Linked DNA regions of Mytilus edulis. The protein of the gene in region 2 interacts with the protein of the main gene of each other region in a biochemical or structural test. Links are inferred from orthologs where the notes say so. Each region holds a gene or a part of one and is shown on either strand. Other genes may lie near its edges.

Region 1 (8,076 bases), on a different chromosome or scaffold from region 2:
ATGGTTAAAAATTGACTATAAAGGGCAATTACTCCTAAAGTGGTCAACTGACCATTTTGGTCATGTTGACTTATTTGTAGATCTTACTTTGCTGAACATTATTGCTGTTTACAGTTTATCTCTATCTATAATAACATTCTAAATAATAACCAAAAACAGCAAAATTTCCTTAAAATTACCATTTCAGGAGCAGCAACCCAACAACGGAATGTCCGATTCATCTGAAAATTTCAGGGCAGATATATCTTGACCTGATGAACAATTTTACCCCCATGTCAGATTTGCTCTAAATGCTTTGGTTTTTGAGTTATAAGCCAAAAACTGCATTTTACCCCTATGTTCTATTTTTAGCCATGGCGGCCATCTTAGTTGGTTGGGTGGGTCAGGGGACACACTTTTAAACTAGATACCCCAATGATGATTATGGCCAAGTTTGGTTAAATTTGGCCCAGTAGTTTTAGAGGAGAAGATTTTTCTAAAAGATTACTAAGATTTACGAAAAATTGTTAAAAATTGACTATAAAGGGCAATAACTCCTAAAGTGGTCAACTGACCATTTTGGTCATGTTGACTTATTTGTAGATCTTACTTTGGTGAACAGTATTGCTGTTTACAGTTTATTTCTATCTATAATAATATTCAAGATAATAACCAAAAACAGCAAAATTTCCTTAAAATTACCATTTCAGGGGCAGCAACCCAACAACGGAATGTCCGATTCATCTGAAAATTTCACGGCAGATAGATCTTGACCTGATGAACAATTTTACCCCCATGTCAGATTTGCTCTAAATGCTTTGGTTTTTGAGTTATAAGCCAAAAACTGCATTTTACCCCTATGTTCTATTTTTAGCCATGGCGGCCATCTTGGTTGGTTGGGCGGTTCACCGGACACATTTTTTAAACTAGATACCCAAATGATGATTATGGCCAAGTTTGGTTAAATTTGGCCCAGTAGTTTCAGAGGAGAAGATTTTTCTAAAAGATTACTAAGATTTACGAAAAATGGTTAAAAATTGACTATAAAGGGCAATAACTTCTAAAGTGGTCAACTGACCATTTTGGTCATGTTGACTTATTTGTAGATCTTACTTTGCTGAACATTATTGCTGTTTACAGTTTATCTCTATCTATAATAACATTCAAGATAATAACCAAAAACAGCAAAATTTCCTTAAAATTACCATTTCAGGGGCAGCAACCCAACAACGAAATGTCCGATCATCTGAAAATTTCAGGGCGGACAGATCTTGACCCGATGAACAATATTACCCCGTCAGATTTGCTCTAAATGCTTTGGTTTTTGAGTTATAAGCCAAAAACTGCATTTTACCCCTATGTTCTATTTTTAGCCATGGCGGCCATCTTGGTTGGTTGGCCGGGTCACCGGACACATTTTTTAAACTAAATACCCCAATGATGATTGTGGCCAAGTTTGGTTAAATTTGGCCCAGTAGTTTCAGAGGAGAAGATTTTTCTAAAAGATTACTAAGATTTACGAAAAATGGTTAAAAATTGACTATAAAGGGCAATAACTCCTAAAGTGGTCAACTGACCATTTTGGTCATGTTGACTTATTTGTAGATCTTACTTTGCTGAACATTATTGCTGTTTACAGTTTATCTCTATCTATAATAATATTCAAGATAATAACCAAAAACAGCAAAATTTCCTTAAAATTACCATTTCAGGGGCAGCAACCCAACAACGAAATGTCCGATTCATCTGAAAATTTCAGGGCAGACAGATCTTGACCCGATGAACAATATTACCCCATGTCAGATTTGCTCTAAATGCTTTGGTTTTTGAGTTATAAGCCAAAAACTGCATTTTACCCCTATGTTCTATTTTTAGCCATGGCGGCCATCTTGGTTGGTTGGCCGGGTCACCGGACACATTTTTTAAACTAGATACCCCAATGATGATTGTGGCCAAGTTTGGTTAAATTTGGCCCAGTAGTTTCAGAGGAGAAGATTTTTGTAAAAGTTAACGACGCCAGACGACGGACGACAGACGACGGACGCCGGACGCCAAGTGCTGAGAAAAGCTCACTTGGCCCTTTGGGCCAGGTGAGCTAAAAAAGAAGATGTGGTATGATTGCCAATGGGACAACCGTCCACAATATATGCCTTTTTCAACATATATATATTAGATGATGTGGCTCTGTGCTCTGTGCTTGTAGCCGTTTACATCCTGTCATTGTGTTGTTGTGCTATGTTTGATTTTTGTATTCTTGTCCTTCATTTGCAAATGTGCTTGATCTATATGCCTATTTGTGATCCTTTGTAACATATATATGTATAGGTTTCTTTTATAGTGATTACTACACGTTGACTGCTATGCAGGTCAGGAATATGACAGATGTTATCCATTCATTTGATGTGTTTGAGCTTTAGATTTTGTCATTTGATATTACAGACTTTCTGTTCTGAAATTTCCTTAGAGTTCAAACTCTGTATTTTTGTTGTTTTACATTTTGATAGTTTTAGGTACATCTTTTCACAAGAAATTCAGAAATCTGGTGGTCCCTTAAACCAGAAGCAAAATAGTCTATGAACATTCAAGACAAACATGAGTATGATTAGATTATTTTGTTTCAATACCATACATTTTGTACATAAACAAAAGTATCAAAACCCTACAAAAGCAAAACCAAAGTAACTTTAGAGGTAGAAAATGTAGAAACCATACTTGTAACAACAGAGCACACAAGACATTTACAAGTAGACCTGTAGATATGTTTTTGTTTGTGTTTGTAGTCTCGTTGCATTGGCATCCATACCTCTGTAAACCTGTATTATGTTTTACAATGTAAGGGGAATAACTCTAATTTACAAACATGACATACAAGAAAATTAAATTTTTAACTTTTTATTCATGGTTTTTTTCTTTTTTTTTTTCAAAATATAAATAACAGCATCCACTGGTGCTTACAAAGACCAGAGATGTTTTGTAGAAAATAATATATATATAAAATTATGACATTTGCATGATAACCTCAGAAATAATGACTAAATGAAATTATCACATTTAAACATGCAAGATAGAAATTTTGTTGCAGAAGACAAAATGTTAAAATTGCGGAATGTCAGCAACAAAATTATCATCAAAACATGCAAAAACAATACGTGATTGGCACTTATACATAAAACATCCTTATGAACACATTGTCAAGGCACAGATCATTTCATTCAAATGTTATGAGAATATATTTGTACTTGAAATCATGATTTGACAGCCACTGTTCACATGGTCTATAATTTTTTTCTTTAGTTTACAGACTTGGTCCCTGAGAGAATTTGCTGTTGCTGTTAAATCACAGTTTTGTCCTTTCAAGTCATCTACTCTATCTTCTAATCGGGAGATTCTTTCAAGTTTACGCGTTCTGCACTTTCTTGCAGCTACACGGTTTCTGGCACGTTTTCTTTCAAGTTTGATAACTTCTTGATTTTCCATGTTTATTGGCGACACTGAAAAACTGTCAGTTGTACTAGTTGCTATTGAAGGAACGGTCTGTGGTTCTTCATCCTGTCGTAATAAACTGATTCTTTGGGAAGGCATAGATTTAACTGAATGATTTCCTGCAGAAGATGTGTTAGTTGTGAATAAACCACCAGGGAGGGTTGTAGTAGCTGAGGTAAGAACATAGTCTGGAGGTACATACGTGTAACTGGCATTAGACACAGAGTCACTTTGGCTTTCACAATCCGAAGAGGATTCACCCTTTAAACATTGTCCTGTTTTTCCATGAAGATTGTTCAATGCCTCCACAAATCCTTTAGCAAATGATTCCTGTTCGTCTGTCACGAATTTTGGAAATATGAATTGTGTTGGTGTCGGCGTTGTTGTAACAAATCCATTTGCTTGAATTATAAACTTTTCTAACTCTGGCGATGCCAACTTCAGCATGTTCAAATCAGGAGAAGCAAGCAGATTTTGGATCTTCTGTTGTTTTGTTTTTCCTGATGAATTAAAGTCTAATGTCATCTTTCTTTTCAAACTATTCACGTTTGGGTCTCCGGCTTTGTTCATGATCCCTTCTGGATAAAATGTCCGCTCGGACAAAACTTCCATTGTCTAAAAAGTTTGTTATAGTATAAAGTCTAAAAACTTTTTCAACTTCAGTTGATAACTTGTGATGACTAATCCCAACGAAGGTCGATGTAAAAATGGTGGAAATATGAGTCACCTCTCTATATTTCTTTTCGTGTGAGGCTTGCACTGTAGTAAGTTTTCAAGACGTATGCTTTGTCCAACGTATTTCACTCCTTTTTATATGAAATGAGTCAGTTTTCTAAATATAGCATGACATCACTTTGGATAGCTCTCATTGGTTCTCAATGCGATCATCGACTATGTTGTCATTGTTCCTTCGGAGTTCTCGGACATTTTTTCTTTCATGTATCGGTTAAACCTAAAAATGATATCGTTGGTTCGAGAAAATGTTTTGATTTTGATTGGACGATTCTCTCGGGTGTGACTTGATTTGAACTCTGGAAAAGGGCACTTTCTGTAAAAGGAAATATTGACTGTGACGTCAGGATATTTACAACCCATATTTGGAAAACATTAAATTCTTAAACTTTATTGAGAACTGTTTTGATATTGCGAGTAACCGTTACCTTAGAAACTCTAAAGAAGATTATAAACGTAATATTCTCTAAAATCTAACCTAAAATATTTTTTGAAAGTGGTTTAACAAACACATGTTACTGAAACTTTCGGCGCCAAACCATGCTCTCAGAAGGGGATTTCCAAATATGAATCATCACTATTAACACGTGGAAGTTTTGAGACTAATAATAAAGGTAACGAAAGTCGATAAAGACGAAGTCGAAAGCAAAGAACTAGAATTTATTTTAAATACGCTTGACCATGGCGAGGAGTTAAAGTTTCAGATTAGATAGGAGATTAGAGATGGCCTGTGATCTGATAAATTATTTTTTACATACAAAACAACTTCAAAATAAGAGCTATTGCTCAAAAAGCCTAAACTTCCAAAGGAGCTAACCATTCAATAGGAGTTTTATTTCCAGAAGTTCAACAACTTCTCTAATTAATGGACCACACCTTCCTACATGTATATCTATGGTGGTTGAATATTGAACCACTTCATTAATTCATACATGTACATCACAAAAAAGATAATCTAGTGGCAAAGATCTTAGCTGAATATGTAAGGCAAAATAGTGTCCTGGGAAATAGTGTCCACATGGACACTATTTCCTAGAATTTAGGTATTAAATAATGTCCATTGCCATGGAATATTGTCCCCAAAGTGGACAGATTGTCATAGCAATATCTATGAAATAGTGTCCACTTGACTACAGAATGTTATGAAATAGAGGACATTATTAAATCCTACTATTATTAACAAATTATGTCCTCCAAGGGAAGTACATGTAAGGAATACTAAGGTGGACATCTTATCACTGAAATATAGTATTTTTAAATGTGTCCACTTTCAGGGACACTTTTTCATACCGGAGGACAGTTTTTCATAGAAAAATGTGTCCAGGACACATATAAATAAGTGAATATCGTCCTGAGACCGTATTTACTAGGAAATAATGTCCCGTGGACACTATTTCATTAGGGACATTATCAAATCCTACAAATACATACACTTTTTTACTAAATTTTGGAGAACTTTATAAAAATATTTTTACAACCAGTGTCAAAAAGAAAACTTGTAGCTTTTGATAGACCTATTATTTGGTCATGGAATAATTTATTCAACCTTCTGTGGCAAGCATATTTAAATTTATACCTTTCTATTTTTAAAGGATATTTGTTGAACTGTAGATTTTTTTTAGTTTGTGTCATATGGTTGCTGTCTGGTTGCAATTTACACTGTATCAACTTTTATACGCCTCTGGCCTTTTACCTAACGACTAAAAATTGAAAAAAGGGATTATGATAATTGTTACATTTGTAGTCCTAGTTGGCTGCATTTTTTCTTAAAATTTTTTAATAATAAATTATGCCCTCTGTGTCTAAAAAATTATAAATTTTGATTCACATTTTTATCTATTTCACTTGAATAGCTTTTTAATATGTGAATCTTTTTTTATACCAAAAATTATACCTAAATCCAATGAAATAAAATTTGTTGTTGTCTTTAAACAAGTTAAAAATCCAAAACGTTTTTAAACCTTTTGAATATTTAAATTTTTAAAGTAATACATCCCCCCCTTTTCTCTGTTGATGTCTGAACATGTTTGTTGACAATCCTCCAAATGAACTTTGTGTGTTGGCATTGCATGGGTATTTCCCACTGTGAGTAGATTTTCTATATTTATCTGATGATTCACCACAACAGTAGGTTAGTAGGTGTTTGTTTATTGTTTTTCCATGGCTTACCTGTGAGGGAACATATCAAAATAGAAAATGCAATATCACATATTTTATGCATTTAGTTTTTCTCTAGTTTTTCTCCTAAAAAAAGATTTGAATGTTTTTAAAGTATACTGTTCGTATAAGATAAAGAAATCAAGAATTGATAGTAAATGTAATTATTTTATTAAATATGTGTTAAAACATTAAATATAAGCATATTTGACATATAAATTAACTTGCAAAATTGTTTTCATTAAAACAAAAAAATGAAGATATTTAATTGTTTTGCACAAAGTACATTTAGATTTAGGTTCAATTAAAATATTTTAAAGATTTTGACCTTTTTTAATTTTTAAATTGAACTTTAGTTCAATTGACCTGACAAAATAACATTGAAAACTTCTTAAACACTGACACAAATATTGTTTTTTTTTAGATATATAGAACCAAGGTGTTCCAAGTTAAATTATTACTACTTTTATGCAAATGTCTGTTTTAAGTGAGGTCTACAAATCAACTTTTTAAAACTTCTCATGACTTTCTTTTAGGAAAAAAGGGGGTGGTTGGTTCTCAGTGGCGGATCCAGAAGGGGGGGGGGGGGGTTTCCGGGGGTTAGAACCCCCTCTTTTTTTGGCCGATCAATGCATTTGAATGGGAGCATATATTTGGACCCCCCCCTTTACTCTGGGTTGGGAACCCCCCCTTTTTAAAATGGCTGGATCCGCGCCTGGTTCTAGAGAATTAAATCAAAATGAAAACGATGGTCTACATTTGATGAAATATATCAATTAATATTTTAAGTAAAAGATAATATAAAGGTTACTAACTAAAGTTGAAGTTATCTATGGTTGAACTTTTGTGAAAGAATAGACAGGTGGTTTGAAATTTATGATTTTGAGATTTTCCAGATTTGTGTATTGGCATCAGGCCATCACATGACCTTACTATTGTCTGTAAATTTTCGATCACATGATTGTTTTATTTAAGGATAATATAAAATAACAGTTGTCCCCAATTACGAAATAGTCTGTTAATCATAGTATGGATGATAAGATGATAAACAATAACAGATAGTTATTTTTAATATAAATGAAATTTTAATGTCCAAAAAGATAAAAATAAACCATATATAGATATACTTATATAAATCATATATATATAGATACATAAATATAGATTTATACCCAACTATTTCCAAGCAGCAATTTTTTTCAATAATACATATTTTGTTTGTAAAACAGTGGCGGATCCAGAAATATTTTTTGGGGTGAGGGGCTGACTGACCTGAGTGTTTTTATTATATATATATATTGTGATTTTTTTTTTTTGTTTGAAAATCTACTATTTTATATGAAGATTATTATTGTTTTTTTTCTTTTATTCCCCTGCCTTTTTGGAATTTTTAATTAGAATAAAAGCTAGTATTGTCATTGTGTTAAAAAGCTATATTTATAATAAGTTATGTATTATAAGAAATGGCTAAGTCACAGTTGTTGAAACACTATAATCTCTATTAGCCATAATTTTGCATCATAATCCATAAATTTTGGTCTCAATCACAAAATTGAACTTTGTCTATTTTAGTATGCTGCATGTTTGATTAACAAGAAGTAAGTTTAACTATGTGAAATGTGAAGTTTTTTATTTGATTGATTGATTATACAGTGTTTAACACTTTCAGTACTGTTTTTTTTTTTGTGGCAGTCTGTTTTTATTGGTGGAGAAAGAAACTTGAGA
Region 2 (8,576 bases):
TATTTTCAATTTATAAAGGGACATAACTCATGCAGGGCTTAAGTGACTCTACCCAAATTCAAAGTCTCAAAATTGGTAAAAATTTGACAGACCCGAATTTCCAGATAATGTCAAACGTTCCTGAAGTTCGGGTCCATTAAATTTTACCATTTTTTAAATTTTATATTCACCGGAAGTCACGTTTCTTTGGTAATTGTGGGAAAACATCTTGAAACAAAATAAATATTTGCCCACCTCAAACATTTTGTCAAATGGAATCGTAGCTTATTTAATCTTTTCTTTTGGATATTTCTGGATATATTTTACATCAATAAGCACAAAAAAGGTAGGACTTTGTAACTACGTAAAAATTTCTAACCGGCAATGAAAGTTTCATGTCAAAATTAGGTGTCAAAGTTCCCCCCAAAATTTGCTCTCAAACTCCAGACGTAAAAAATGGCTTCAGCGTTCTGACGTCGTAGGAAGGCGTCCCAGAAAAAAATTAAAATAGCCTTGCAAGACATCATAATTATATGAAGGAAGGCGTCCCAGAAAAAAATCAAAGCGCTGTAAGAACTGTAGGCAGTTAACCAAAAACCAAGGCAAACATAATTATTTTCAATAGCAACGTATATATATCAAGTATATTTTTTTCGTGGTCATGAGTCTTGAGTCAGCAGTGGTACAAATTCGCAATGATTGCAGTTCTTCTAGTTGATCGTAATTGTTCATATTAGTTGACTGTTAGTAGTTCAAGTTGACTTTAGTCTGAGCTTGTAAAAGTATGAATGAACTTGCTTCCCTGCATAGAAAGAAAACTGAGTTTGTGTTCTACAGTACAAAAGTTATGAGACACAAAGCAGACAAATGTTTACTACTACAGGGATCAATGGTGAGGTCTGACTGACCTGTCCATAGTAAATGTAAATGACTCCCACCTTCACCCCAAGTCCATGATGTCTAAATTTGGAATAAAATGACAGGTGTTAGGTCTAGCAAACTGATATGCATATGTGACGCCTATGAGATTGACCTTGTATGTCATTCAATCTTTTTGATTGACAAATGACAAACAGGAATGAATATGGTTTAGGAGTTGGTATCTCAATCTTTTACAAGTTCTCAAAACACACACAAGAGGGTGTGGGTGACCCTAGGGACTACCCCTATTTTTCATTTGATTTTTTATATTGTCCCATACATGAATACATATGGTTTAGGGGTGGGGATCTCGACCGTTATCCCGAGTACTATGTGAAATATCCGAGTGAAGCAAAAATGAAAGGACTACTGTCATTGACTAAAATTAACGTACTTAAAAACGTATCTTTATTCATTTCAAAGTTAACTAAAATATTATGATATTAAAATATTATAATATAAAGTAAAGTAATTTTCTATATACATGTATTTCATTTCTAAGTTGTTTCATTTATTTCTTTAATTGTATGTGATTGTATTTTGTAATTTACCTCTTGTTTCACATGTCAATGTGACTGAGTGTTTTTAAAATAAAGCATATTGTATATTGTATTGTATCAAGTTTTCAAACAGGAGGGGGTGGGGGACCCCAGTGACTTCCCCTATATTTCATTTGATTTGTTATATTGTCCAATACATGAATATTTATGGTTGAGGGGTGGGGACCTCATCTGTTTCCAAGTTATCAAACAGGATTGGGTAGGGTGACCCTTAGGACTCTCCCTATATTTCATTTGATTCAAGTTCTATTGTCCCATACACATGATACATGAAAATATATGGTTTAATTTAAAGGTGGGGATCTCGACTGTTTCCAAGTTCTCAAACAACAGGAGGGGTGGGGTGACTGCAGGGACTCCCCCTATAATTTATTTGATTTGTTATTTAGTCCCTTACAATGAGTATATATGGTTAAGGAATGAGGATCTCGACTGTTTACAAGTTCTCAAACAGGAGGGTGCAGTGACTTTAGGGACTCCCCCTATAATTCATTTGATTTGTTATATTGTCCAATACATGAATATATATGGTTTATGGGTGGGGATCTCAACCGTTTTCAAATTCTCAAACAGGAAGGGGTAGAATGGCCCCACGAACTCCACCTATATTTCATATGATTTCTATATATAGTCCCATACATGAATATATATGGTTTAGGGGTGGAGATCTCGACCGTTTCCAAGTTCTCAAGCAGGAGGGGTGGGATGACCCACAGGGACTCCCCCTATATTTTATTTGATTTTTTATATTGTCCCATACATGAATATATATGGTTAAGGGATGGGGATCTCGACTGTTTCCAAGTTCTAAAGCAGGAGGTGGTGGGTGACCCTAGGGACTTCACCTAGATATTTCATTTGATTAGTTATATAGTCCCATACATGAATGTATATGAGAGGTGGGGATCTCATTCGTTTCTAAGTTATCAAACAGGAGGGGGTAGAGTACCCCAAAGGACTCCACATAAATATCATATGATTTGCTTACATTCAGGTATCATATAATCTAGTTGCACTCTATGTGTAAAATAAGAAACTTCCAGCTTGTTTTACTGACCCATCAAAATTGAGAAAAAAAAATACCCATTGAAATTGCAGTAATATGTTTACACTTTAAAAGCATCTAACTTGCTTTACCAACATTTATTACTGATAAAGAAAATGTATACTGTCACCAGGACCATATTTATTGTTAGATATACTGTTCCCAGCTGTCACAAAGACTCACATTGTATTGGATTTTGACATTTAAATTTGTCAAAAAGTAATTTTGAGTTTCAGTACAAAATATTTACTGTTTTTTCATTCTTTTACATATATCTTTTGGTTTTCAATTCTAGTGTTTATATAATAAAATATATAAAATTCGTGTTTTCATAATCATAGCTAAAAAATGTAATTATAAGTATTGAATGCTTCTTTTTGTAACTTTATAGGGTTGTAAAAGCGTTGACCGCGCGTACATTTTTAGAATGTACTTCGGTCAACGCTTTTACACCCCAATAAATTTACAAAAAGAGGCATTCAATTCTTAAATAAAACATATCAAATTCATTAACTTTATAAGCTGACACATTATATTTGACTTTTTATCAAGATTTTACTTCATTTAATAGTAGAAACAACCATGAAAATTTCAATTGACCAGTATTTGCCAGTATTGACCACTTGGGGAGTATTGTCCGGGGCGGTAAATACCGGTAAATACCACTGGTAAATACCGGGGGTGGTATTTACCGCCCAACCTTCTGACGAATACTTTTTAGCAATGTTGTATAGACACGAGTCAAAGTAAAGTTCTGTCCCCAATGCGAAATTATTTTTTTATACAAACACAAATATTCCTCCTCAATATTGTTTCTAAAAGATACTTTGTGTCACTGTGTTTTTAACTGGTCACATTAAGAAGAAAAACCTAAATCCCGGCAATTTTTGTCGAAGATACTACGGAGACTTTAAAGTAGGGGAAAGGAACGAACAGCAAAGTGTTTGACAAATGTCCGTTATAAACTGATTATTCTATCATGACTGACATGACTGCAGCTACTAATGATTAATTTAGTATTACTATAAAGTCTTCAGGGCCTTCTTTCTATTTAATTAAACATTGAAAAATAATATTAAAAACGTTCTAAGTATAAGAAATGCCTTCAAGAAAACATGCAATGAAGCAGTTGTCCTAGTAGGCCTCAGTGCACCATCTGGTTTCAGTTAATTACTGTATAGTATATAACCCAGACCATGACGACTTCAAACTACCAGAGAATATAAATGCATATGTCTCTAAAACTACGAATGAGGGGTAACCGGGGGAACTGGCTTTGTAATGTAAGGGTAAAAAAGTGGGATCTGGGAGAAAGCCGGACAGGAGAAACAGTGGGAAATGGGGAAAATTTACAAAACAATCGAGGTATTTGGGAAATGTTCAATCCTTTAAGCGTTATCATACATTTTTCTTCTTTTTGAAATCGATTTTCCGGTTAGGACCAAGCCTGTTCAATTGTGATACTTCAATAGGACCCGGCAGATTGTGATACTTCTATAAAACATAATCGGTATAATAAAAGTGTCATAATTAATCTTGGTCCTATTAGGGTTCCCCACAAAATGAAAATCAAGGGTGGGGGAGAAAGTTCATCAAATCATCTTCTTGCTGACTTGTTCCTTTATTCTTATGAGACTGACTTTACACAGGAACTTCTTAAGAAGAAAGAAAAGAAGTTAGCTGTATATCCTTTAACTTTACTTTCCGCTATAAGTAGATGATGTTAGATCTCACTGAATAGTTCTAAATTTGGTGACTATGTTGAACGCATCTATCCCATCGAACTGGGATAAAAAAAAAAAAAAAAAAAAAAAAATCACAAAAATAACGAAATTCAAAACGGAAAGTCCTTTATCAAATGACAAAACCAAAAGCTCAAACACATACAACGAAACAACAGATACATATAAGTCTGCCTCATAACTTGAAATACATCTAGAAAATGACAATGTGGTCGGTTGAAAACAAAACGTTCCGACTAAAAAGATGATTTCAGCTTCCAAATTGTGAACTTTCCATTTCTATGTTGCAACAGTCCAGCAGCGCCTGCATACGGAATATATATATATCCAAATTGATACGATATTTCCTATCATGATTTCATGAGGACTGCACCTCACACGGAAGCTATTAAACCAAGAGTTTCAAATTGTGAAGTTGAAATCTTCCTTTCGTAAATTTTAAGGACGCCATCACGAGTTGGTTAAACGAATTATGAATTATTCGTTTCACAGATGATAACAGATATGTTCCTTATGTCGTAACTACAATCCCTTTCCGTTTTCACAAATGTAACCTACCGAATTTATCAATTAGACTTATTCTCGGGTTTGTACTAACATGAGCAACACGACGGGTGCCACATATGGAGCAGGATATGCTTACCCTTCCAAAGCACATGAGATCACCCCAGTTGCTTGTGGGTTTCGTGTTGCTTAGTCTTCATTTTTCTATGTTTTGTTTTGTGTACTACTGTTTATCTGTTTGTCTTTTTTTTTTAGCCATAGCGTTGTCAGTTTATTTTCAATTTATGAGTTTGGATGTCCCTCTGGTATCTTTCGCCCTTATTTTATTATGTATAATATTTGATTTTTTTATATTATTTATCTTTGTTATTACCCAGATCTGCTTCAGGTGCGTAATGTTGACACTTTGTTCATTGTAGCTTGTTGATTCCATGTTTTGGTAAAACTGTACATATACATATATGCGAAAGCGAAAGCTCTTTTTTTGAGAGCCCAGGTGGTCGTGTGGTCTAGCGGGACGGCTGCAGTGCAGGCGATTTGGTGTCACGATATCACAGTAGCATGGGTTCGAATCCCGGTGAGGGAAGAACCAAAAATTTGCGAAAAGCAAATTTACAGATCTAACATTGTTGGGTTGATGTTTAGACGAGTTGTATATACATTATGTACACAGCCATGTATCACCATCATTGATGGCGATCCGATGGATACATCTGTTGTGGAGTTGTCACTGACTCAAACGTACTTATAAATATAATTATTTTCTGTGACTGTATATTACATTAATTTGTAGGATCCTTTACTATAGATAATTTAGCTGATCTGTAACAATAATATCTTCATGCCTTATATATCATGTACTGTAGTACGCCGCTAGATTAAAACTGACGTGGAAAGGTAACACACGGCCAGCGAAAGCTCTTTTTTTGAGAGCCCAGGTGGTCTAGCGGGACGGCTGCAGTGCAGGCGATTTGGTGTCACGATATCACAGTAGCATGGGTTCGAATCCCGGCGAGGGAAGAACCAAAAATTTGCGAAAGCAAATTTACAGATCTAACATTGTTGGGTTGATGTTTAGACGAGTTGTATATATATATATATATATATATATAAAAGAAGATGTGGCATGACTGCCAATGAGACAACTGTCCACAAGAGACCAAAATGACACAGAAATTTACAACTATAGGTCACCGTACGGCCTTCAACAATGAGCAAAGCCCATACCGCATAGTCAGCTATTAAAGGCCCCGAAATGTCAATGTAAAACAATTCAAACGAGAAAACTTACGGCCTTATTTATATAAAAAAATGAACGAAAATATGTAACACATAAACCAACGTCAACCACTGAATTACAGGCTCCTGACTTGGGACAGGTACATATAACATAATGTGGCGGGGTTAAACATGTTAGCGGGATCCCAACTCTCCCTAACCTGGGACAGTGGTATAAAAGTACAACATAAGAACGAACTATAAAAATCAGTTGAAAAAGGCTTAACCCATCAGATATACAAAAATACAAGTGGACGTGACCGGGTACTTGTACATCCCAACAACAAAAAGATACTAGGAACAGATCTGAGAGTACTCCCATTTATCTGACAGCTAGTTCATAGCCACTAACAACTAATAAAAAAGATCATCCATCTATGACTAAATAAAGTATTTTCATATTTTAGAAATAGTGTAAAGATGTAACCCTGTGAAGCCAAAAGATTCTAGTTTTTCATCAGGTTTCATGAAATCACTTTCCACCACTCTGAATCCACCATTGAACCAATTCCTGAGTTTTTCACAAGTAACCGATAATTCGTCTGCAACTGTGAGATTTATGCATTTATTTCCCATCAGCGATTTGATAATATTAACATATTTTTCCTGGTCATCCAAGTTGACGGCATTAAGAGCACCACTATCCCAAACAGCCTCAAAATCACTTTGAATAGCCGAGTTAAACAGATAAAAATCACAGCAATATAGCCGTATTCGACCATCATCACTTTTATATAATTTCCCTTTGACCTCCGGAACTTCTACAATACTATAATCGATTTTGTTCTCTGTAAAAAAATCTTTAATTGCTTCCTCACCACATTCGACGCCGACAACTTCATGTCCTTTATCCCAAAGCCATTTCATTTCTACAACTTTTCCACAAAATGGGACAAACGTTTTCACTTTTTCACGACTATTTAACATTTTGTCAACATGTTTGGTAAACATCGGGCTAAGTTCAGGATTAACAAAATCTGTTTTGCCATCTTTCCACAATTGCCTCCACTCGTCCACAGTAACATCACCAGTATAATCTTCTTCCATTACAATCTACGATGACAGGTATCATTAGTAAAAGAATAAGAATTAGAAAATAAAACATAAAACAAATCTGCGTTCATGGCCATAAATAACGATATTTGCATCATTTTTTTCGTAAAGCAATAGTTCACTAGGTCCGCAACTACTAGTAGCACAATGTAAATTTAGCGAGTTCTAGAAACACTCATTTCAGACTGATTGTTTTATAAAAACTAGAGATGTTGTATGATTGACAATGATACCACTATCCACCAGCGACCTTAGGACGAGGATGCAATCATTTACAGGTCATACAGCTTCCAAAAATTAGCAAAATTCTAACGTTATAACAATTCAAAAGAATAAAACCAACCACTCGATCTATATCTTGCTAAAACAACAAACGAAAAACTATTAATACGGACAGCAATCAACTCCAACCACTGAAAAAACAAGATCAGGACTTGGAACAACGCTAATACCCCAAACCTTGGACAGTATTGTAGTCATTTCGAACATTCAGATCCTCGAAATATCTTGAAATTGCAAACGCTCAAATAATTTTCTAGACTATAAGGTTCTAGCCTTAAATGGAGAAAACGCTGCTTGCATTTCTGTTATAAAAAATCAAAAGGAGGACCTTCTCAATTGTCGATAAAATCAAATGGTCGTCATAGGTTTTCCAATATACCATGTACCAAATAAAAAAAAATTGAAAGTAGTCAACAACCTTCTGATCTGCTACTTGATTAACAGGAAGATTTTGTAGGACAAATATATTTGAGAAAATGTATTGACATAAGTTTTGAGAGAACAAAAATGACAGTCCATTGAATTGTGTCTATGACTTGACTTTTGGTCAATAAATATATAAACTTAATTACTTGCATATGTACAGACAGATTTAATGTGTCACTGAATACACATTTAGTGTTTTAAGTTTTCTTCAAAATAACCCCGCGTATTTTTGCTTAAAAATTAAAAAAAAAAATCATAGTTTACTCTTTCATTACAAAACACTTCATTTGAGAAAACATACATATTCGTATACCTTATCTATACTTTATATTTATTTGATCACATGATGTTAAAATAATCATGATAGTAGATTGTAAATAAAGAAAAGAATTGCAAAATATTGAATATAGTAAATCCCACAAAGAAAAATGTTTTGATTGAAATCTTAATTTTGCGTTTATCAAGACACTGCAATGATATAGATCTGTCACAAATAAAATACATTCAAGAAAAACGTACCTTTATCTCAGCTTACTCGCCAGTTAAAGTTTTGATATACATCATTACACTTACCTAGACTCAACCATCCATCTACATCTCAAGGCAAACAAAGGGTTTTCTGACATTAATCACTTGCGTTAATATCTAAAAATACATATTGGGAAATCTTCGGATTATTTGCGTTCTATATTGTGAGGCAACCACAGGTTTTTTTCGTGGAAAATTTGAGTGATTGGCACTCGATGTCCAGTGGCAAATATACCTTGCATATTCAGGTCAATACTC
Region 3 (8,706 bases), on a different chromosome or scaffold from region 2:
AAAGGGATAGTATTCATGATTTTTTTTATCTGAGATATTAATAATACTTTAATGAATTATTGTATATGATCACTACCTTTCACCAACAACCTGCAGATCATCTTGTCGTATTCCTTTACCATTATCTACCACTTGAATTTTAAAGCATGGTAGGTCTACTCTAATGGCCACACAAGTGGCACCTGCATCTAAAGCATTGACCACTAACTCCTCAACGCACTGGGCAACATTTGTAATTGCCACTCCTGTCCTCAGTAATGACCTAACATCAGCTGGTAAACTTGCTATTCTATCCCCCATACATCTACTGGAACAACTGAAAATATAGAAGAAGCAAATAATAAAAAAAAATGTTAATATTTAAAGCCTTAAGCATGTTTAGTAAAATTTATTACAGGTAATTGGTTATTTTACCAGCAGCAGCAATGTTAGTGAATTTGTTATTTTGCAGGTTCTTTGTAAAGAGTGTTTACCTGTTTACTTTGAAGATGATTTACAACATTAAAACCATGTAGTGGCAGGACAAATAGCTACAAAGTCACCCAACAAACATTTCAATCTAATATTCCTGAACATTCATTCTCTATTAGAATTGCTAAAACCTTGAACAAGCTACCAGATAAATAACTAAAGCCCCTTCAATAAATACCTTCAAAAAACAACTACATAAATATTGGTCTGACGAAGAGGTGTATTAAAATGACTTATTACTATAGAGCAGAAATAAGGACAAAATGGTAATAGAAATAACTAAAATTTAGATCAAGTCTGGTGAAGAAGAACCTCAAAGAAACTAAATATTACAAGTAAGTAATCAATGTAGTTGAATTTATTTCTAAAATAAGTCAAAGTCTAATGCTTCACTAAGATTCAGATTCCTTATTAAGATAACTAATAGAACATAAGTGTTCACCATTACAAATCATATGGTAATATATATAACAACATTTCAAAGTTTTAAATGTAGTATACCAGAGACATATATATATATATAATAAATTAACAAGTTGTTGTGTTGTTGTAACAAATTCTCACTTCCTGTTATCTAAATTGTCCCATATACACTGATTTAAGACATGAACTATTAGCTTCTGTTTCAGTTCTTCCTGTCCAACTTGGTTGACACAAAAATTTTGCTTTTTGGATCAACAGTACTTTAATACGGATGAGCAAAATAGTCATTTATTTAGTTTGGTGCAAAAAAGAATGACATTGACGAAATGGGAAAATTTGTGCCTGAAGTAAAAAAGATTACTTGTAACTTATTAGACATTCCATAAATAAAACTTGATGGATTTTTTTTCACAGTATCTTATACAATTTTACTAACTGGTTGATGAGTTCTATTCAGACAAAAACAATTTTTATAATTAATTATTTACTGCGACTTTTGTGTTTCCAATCCATCCTTGGTAGACAAAATAATTACGATTGACATTCTTGGGTAGGATTGCTAGAGGGAAGATTCCGACAATAAAGGTAGGCCTGTTAGGGACGACATCAAAAGATCGATGTAGGATAAAAAACTTAAATCGAATAGTTTGGGGGTGGGGGTCAACATTGCTGCAAGTTTTGTTAATCTAAAATCGATTTTACATATATCCATATAGGTAAATCAATTTTTCCCAAATTAAGTTAAGAAGGGGGGTAGGGGGTCAGCGAAAAAACTATGTGAATTAAGTTTTTTATCCTACATTGAACTTTTGATGTCGTCCCTTATACACCATTGTGAAGATAAATCAATTTAGATTTAACATTTGTTTAAGTTTTAGTGGCTGTGATGGCTGGTCACAAAAAGGTCAAATAGCGATAAGCAATGATAAGGTGTATATATAACCATAGTCCAAGATTACTCTGACGTCATCATGTACCACGTTAATAGGAATCAATATTTTAGATCAGCTTATATTGGAACTTCAAGAACAACATGGGGCCAGATATTTACAGAACGCAGCATTGACAACTCGGAACTCCATGGTCATATGCATCATGTGCATTATGGTACAAGATATTTTGTTGCATATCAATGAGAGAAAAAGAATTGTCCAAAAATTACAACCAAGTTTATGATGATGCCCTTTTCCAACCGGTTTCATATAGTTTTTAAGAATAGGCCAGTTCCGTGATAAGGTTTTCAGACGAATCTGTCATGTTACTTTCATCACCATGTGACAAAAATGTATGCATAGAAATTTCCAATACATGTTGAGCAAACGAGTGAAAAAGTTTTATTTCATACTGCACAAAATATTTGGGAAATTAAAATCTAAAACGATGGTCACCTTCCCTCAGTCATAAGACCATCACGGTTATTAGTCCGAGATTACTCTGACGTCCAACGGCTGTTTTGCCAGACAAGCTGGGGCCGTGGGACGTCAGAGCTCGTCCAATATCAAAAAGTGGATATTTGCCCACCCAAAATAGATGCGCTGCTTCATCGCTTCTGGTGTCTTTCACTTTCAAATGGACGTCAAGTTACGAGAGAGACACACTCAGAGTTCGTGGCCTCGAGACTCAAATATGCAAATATTTATATTTTTTCACCTCCTTTGTAGGAGATCGATGTTTAACATTTAGAAGCCAACCACGATTTTTCACCTCCTTTACAGGAGATCGGTATTCAGCATTTAGTTCCGACCACGATAACAATCGGAAGCTCTCGGACATGTAGATAACTAACATCGTAAATGAACGAAGTTACATTATGGTCATTTGCACTGTTTTCTTGTGGTCGTTTGATAATCTTTGAAAATGAAAGTCAAAATGCAGAAATCGATGGGTCTCTGTGAAAACTGTTAAAATATAGAAAAATAAAGGTTGGCAGGTAGGTGAAACTTACATAAATGAAGAGATAAATGAAAAATGAACAGATTGATTCCCGATTTATATAATTCCAAGGCCCTCAATCGGCACCAGATACGAAGAAGAAGCGCATCTATTTTGGGTGGGCAAATATCCACTTTTTGATATGGGACGAGCTCTGACGTCCCACGGCCCCATCTTGTCTGGCAAAACAGCCGTTGGACGTCAGAGTAATCTCGGACTACACGGTTATGTACTTACAGAACATTAATTATTTCTATACTACCCTAAAGAATGACGATTATGAAAGTGCTGGAATCTTTTAAAAGAGCAAGGATACAGGCGTGCCTTTTATTTGGTAAACTGTTTTTTTAAGGGTTCGTATGGATATTAAACCCGGCAATTGTAACAAGCCCCTGTGTGTGAACTAAATAATTTCGACATTGTATTTTGTAATATTTGTTGTTGACATGCCATTAAATGACCAGTGAATTGATTTTCATAAATGTTGATGTGTTTAAATATAGGTTTAGAGAAAGGAAACAGTTACAAATTATTTACACACATTCAATAAATAGCATTAGGCAGCATTTGAGTTCATTTATGCTGATTCAAATGTTTTGCTGTCTGCTAGAAAAACCGGAAGTAGTGCGTCTCTCGCTAATGAGATTATGCTTTTCCATAATAATTTCCATATATCTATTTATGTTATCTTGGTCTTCTTTTATTTACAAAAAGTATTTTTTAACATGTCTTATAATTTAATGCTTTTAAAGAAAAAAAATAAATACATTTGACCTTTGACATTGTAGTTGCCTAGGACTTGTAAACAATATGGCGACCACCATATGATCTCGATCATTCTTGCAGATCATAGATTTCTGTGGTGTCACATAAAAAAACGCAGGTGAGTATTATGGCACCTCAAATTTATGACTAATCAATTGCTAATTTAATTTACCAACTGTATGAATTATGTTTCCTTTGTTCTATAATGAAGTTCAGAACATCTTTTTCATTTTATCATGTTATTCTATTTTTACACTACTCACTAGTCACTATATAGTAGTAGTATTCTGATTAAACTGCCGGCTTTCATTAACACTAAGGGACCTGGACCATGCAGGGTTCCGCTAAACTATTCCTTGCTCTAAACATAACTCTTAACCATACCTATCCCTAAATTACACGGCCTAAATCATATACTCCTATATATAAATTACACGGCCTAAATTAGGCCGATATGTATTTATTGTTAATCCTTGGCCTTGGGTTCAATACAGCAGAAGTCTCTGACTAAAGTAAATGGAGCTAAACAGGTCATATTTGTCCTAGGTACGGTATAAACATTATTGTAACATTCATACTTAATAGGTTCCTTATCCATCTTACCCATTACTATAAGTGTCCAACATAACATTTTTTGTTATATTTAAAGTACCAAAAGCTTTTGTAATTTATAATTAATTTACTATAAATTCCTGGTAAGCTGTTCAATCATTTTTGTCAGATTACTTTTGTTACAACCACCATAATGATGGAGATGCAGATGCTAGTATAGTGAAGCTACATGTAGTGTGGATTCGGAATCATCAACATACATTTTGTACCAAAAGACAATGAAAACAAAAGCTTGATATTTAATCTGGGTATCTCAGGATTAAAATTGTGGATGGACTTAAATACCCTTAAAAAAATATTCAGTATGGGTACTTTTCCTAATTAACATAAAATGTATGTAGAAAAGATATATCTTATAGTACCCAAGACAGAAACCTGCTCAGCATAAGAGATAGCCATACTATATTGGGTTTTACTCTACTGAGCATTACAACATTTTTTTAAGATCATATACTCATATATACATGTATATGCCACTGCCAACTGGGCAATTTTTTTTTATACAACTGTAGGATCTTATATATGTTATTACAAAAATTAACCAAAACCCCAGAAAAAATTATAAAATTTTGTCAAATGATTGCAGTTTACATTCAACAGAAAGATTTTTATATCTGCCTTTTCTAATTATGTTTTACATAGAACAAATTGCTTTATTTGATTGTGCCTTTTTAGCCATTAAAAACTTCTTGTTCCACTGAATGAGATACTATGATATGAAAAATCATTGGCAATTTATAGTTCAATGTTGTTACATTTTCACTAGTAGACATACTTTAAATGTGCACATGATGTTGTTGTTATTTTTGTTTTCATATATTCATACATATGTACTAGATGAACAAATATATAACACAAAAATACAGTCATGACAGTTGTATTAAACTGTCAACATTTTTGTTATCTGCTAAAACAATATTGCACCATGTTGGATCTCATTTAATTTTCATAGTGTAAACATTCTGATCTCTATCTATTAAATATAAGTTTAATTCAATTTATTGTCTTACTATAACAACACAATTTGTATAGATTAATTGTGCAGTGTTTTAAATGTTGTTTGTGTCACTTCATCACTAATTTAATTACACATAATTTTTGTTGTGATGTTTCAACATGATTGGAATATTTTGAAGGCTTAATTTTTCAGTATGATCACGAGTTAATTGACACTTAATCAAGCATCAAAAATCAGTTTGGTGATGAACATGCACATATTATAATTTTAGTGTGATAAGATTTGAAAATGGCACTGTTGATGCCACTTGGACTAAACTATCCAAATGGATTAATTAATAGTAAGTCATTTTGTTTATTATAAGTATTTAAAGAACCAGTGTATATTGACTCATATATAACTACCAAAATCCACCTCTTAAGCTTTTGAAAACGATTTTTACATTATGACTCATAATTACTTAAGAAGTTTTATTCCTCATGACCAAACATTTTTAAAGTTGTTGAGTAAACATGTTTCAAAACATTACAGTTACTATTTTGATTCATTTTTTCTTTAAATGAAATGAGGACTAGGTAATTGTATTGATATGAATGATAAAAAGTTAGCTATTCAACAACTGACATATTGTTACATTGACATTGTATGTCTATTTAAACTGAAAATATGGATATTTGTTTGACATAGATCTTGTCATTTATTAAAATATTTATATTTCATTATACATTGTTCAAGACTTATTGAAATCCAAGAGGACAGAAGAGATTTGTTTCATTCATTCAAATTTATTTATTACTTATTCCAAAAAAAATTCGAATGTTTACTAATTAGATCAGAGAACTAGGGATGACAAAAGTACTAAACTTTAAGGCAACAGATACAAAAAAAGGCAAGTAAAGCCTATCTATATCAACTGATAATTCACTACTTTATAAGACCTATTTGGACTCAAAGTATGAAGAAAAATGGTTTATCAGATATCCTCGTTGGTACAAGTATTATTAATGGTTTGAATAGACAAAGTTGTATTATGATTATTGTAGTACGTTAATTTAGAATGAATTTATTTATACAGTTCAAGTACATGTACCAATAACTTGTCATGTTGCTGTAGTTTGTTGAAAATCGTCAAAAATATAATAAAATCAGAAAACCGTCGTTATTGAGATAGAAAAGAACATGTTCACTCCAAGTAGGAATCAAATGTGGTGTAAACATTTACACTGAAAGTTTGCTTGGAATTTTACTGTGACATCATACTTGAGTTTCAAGTATAATTTCATTGTCTTCGGCATCCCCGGATGACTCCACTTGACGTTTTTCTAGTAACTTAAATTACGACACCGTTTTAATGAAGTCTCTTCTTTGTTTAAAATTTTTACGGTGTTGTTTGGTTGTACAGTCTCATTTTAATATTCCCTGTATCTCTTTTTTGTTAATCGTTTCAAACTATCGACTATCATCTTTTAATTGTGATTAAATTCGTACAGAACTTATTTAGCTGTCAACTGATCGCGTTTTTATGTACGGCTAGAAAGCTTTCATTTCCGCTGACCGACATTTGTTTGTACCAATGCATTTTATTTTGGTAAAATTAGGGATCTTTTCACCTGAGCAGATTTTAACAGAATGTTCACTCGATTTCTGATTAAAACCTGGGACTTTTGTACCGTTTTTATACTGTTGGTATATAGTCAATGACTTAAATACAGCAAGTAACTATAACCTTGACAAAGAAATATTCTTCCTCTGTAGATATATATTCATTTAGGATTTTCGCTTTCTACGAATTAAGAATCAAATTAGTTTAAAGAGTAACAATCGGATCACATAAGCTTAAGAAAGTTAACCTCTGTTAAAAATCACGTCACCAAGAACTTCAATAATATTTCTTCTTTTGAAATCTGTTTTCAAAGGTAAGATTTATCCCTTCCTAAAAGGAATTCTTTTGCATCTATATTAGCCTTACTTTTTTATGAAACACAATTGAAACAATACGTTTAAATCAGTAAACTTTAATTATTTTAAGAAGTTATAATTAGGATTATGTGTGTTATGCGGAGAAAAGTTGTGCTCTAAATTTTAAGTATATTGCCTCCGATATTTTTCTACAGTTTTTCGTAAACTAGCAGTATCAATCTTAGATGAGTACACGTATATTCATAGATGTGTGACAATGGATGTGTACTTTCTCATCGCTTATTTAACAAATTGGTCTGTTATATTCAATGAATCACCACATTTACAAAATAAAGGTCAACTCCGATCTGCACTACATTTTCCTCTGAAATATCTATAATGACCCCTCATCCCAAATCTCACTGCTCCATCAATTTAGTTGGTAATTAAAAGACGCAATCAATGTTCAGTTACGTCCTAATAAAACTGCAATATTAAAGCAAAGTTATATTTATTAGGAGTTTGGGAAAAGTATCATCGATTTTCATGCAATCTAAAGACCTCAAAGCGACGTATGGTTGCTCTCTTGTGCTTTACATTAATGAGGTAACCATGAACCTGATGTTTTTTTACTAGTAAATCTAGCAAAGACAACACGAAGTTATCTATCTAAGGCAACAGTAACATTTAACCATTAGTAGTAAAACGGCGATCTTCTTCAGGCAACATGAGGATAACATATATGCCCACAACGCAGCGTGCTTAATTAGTTATCAAAGGTACCAGGATTATAATTTAGTACGCCAAACGCGCGTTTCGTCTACATAAGACTCATCAGTGACGCTCATATCAAAATATTTATAAAGCCAAACAAGTACAAAGTTGAAGAGCATTGAGGATCCAAAATTCCAAAAAGTTGTGCCAAATACTTAAAAGTGATTTACGAAGTAGAAGCCAACATGAGGATTCCCAATTAAGGCTTCAAGAGGATTGCATCCTTTACAGCAAGACAACACGGTGTTTTCTTATTAAGACAACATGATTTTATATTAGATAGACAATATGATGATCTCGGAGACAACATGCTGATTTTTAAACTAGAGTTAGGCCCACAAGAGAATTTCTAATGAAGGCAATGCGCATTTTATATCTAGTGGTAGGCACACAAGACAATCCCCAATGAAAGCAACGTGAAAAGTTTATAATTTGAAGTAAGGCAATACAAGGATATCTACTTAGGCAACATGCTGAGGATTTTATTATTGGAAGAAAGGCAACTTGAGAATATCTTATAAGGGTCACGCTTCCCTTCATTCTTCTTTCGTTTCTTTATTGGATTTTTTTTATGTTTACATTAAATATAAGATTATTTACTACCGATTACCCGTACTGTATATATAGCAACTGGATTATGCACATATGTAATCGCCAATAATATAAATCGCGGGATTTCATATATATAAGTAACAGTGCACTTTATAAGTGACACATAAGATTTAGACTAATCCATGTATTGACAAATTTTATTGATCAAATCTACAGTGTCCGAAACTGAGGTAAGACGAACACAAATGGGCTCCGCGATCTTTCGGATTTTGAAAAAAAAGCAAACTTTGCATTCTATTAGGGGATTTAGGAAACAATTT

The links.
Region 1: the proteins of mutS protein homolog 4-like (region 2) and mutS protein homolog 5-like form a complex in vitro, tested with the Homo sapiens proteins (2 studies listed by BioGRID). The link is inferred for Mytilus edulis from reciprocal best matches to the Homo sapiens genes MSH4 and MSH5.
Region 3: the proteins of mutS protein homolog 4-like (region 2) and uncharacterized protein form a complex in vitro, tested with the Homo sapiens proteins (2 studies listed by BioGRID). The link is inferred for Mytilus edulis from reciprocal best matches to the Homo sapiens genes MSH4 and MLH3.

What each region holds. Positions count from the first base shown.
Region 1 is NC_092344.1:111,934,616-111,942,691, reverse strand, and holds the start of mutS protein homolog 5-like, read left to right. Parts: upstream 1-4,562; 5' UTR 4,563-4,650; intron 4,651-4,674; exon of another isoform or gene 4,675-4,808; intron 4,809-8,076. Other genes in the region: transcription factor Jun-like, read right to left, coding at 3,199-4,074.
Region 2 is NC_092349.1:77,952,184-77,960,759, reverse strand, and holds the start of mutS protein homolog 4-like, read right to left. Parts: upstream 3,439-8,576; 5' UTR 3,295-3,438; intron 1-3,294. UniProt on the Homo sapiens protein: Involved in meiotic recombination. Required for reciprocal recombination and proper segregation of homologous chromosomes at meiosis.
Region 3 is NC_092346.1:50,539,686-50,548,391, reverse strand, and holds the start of uncharacterized protein, read right to left. Parts: upstream 3,460-8,706; 5' UTR 3,368-3,459; intron 317-3,367; 5' UTR 301-316; coding exon 77-300; intron 1-76. Other genes in the region: zinc finger C2HC domain-containing protein 1C-like, read left to right, coding at 5,450-5,501. UniProt on the Homo sapiens protein: Probably involved in the repair of mismatches in DNA.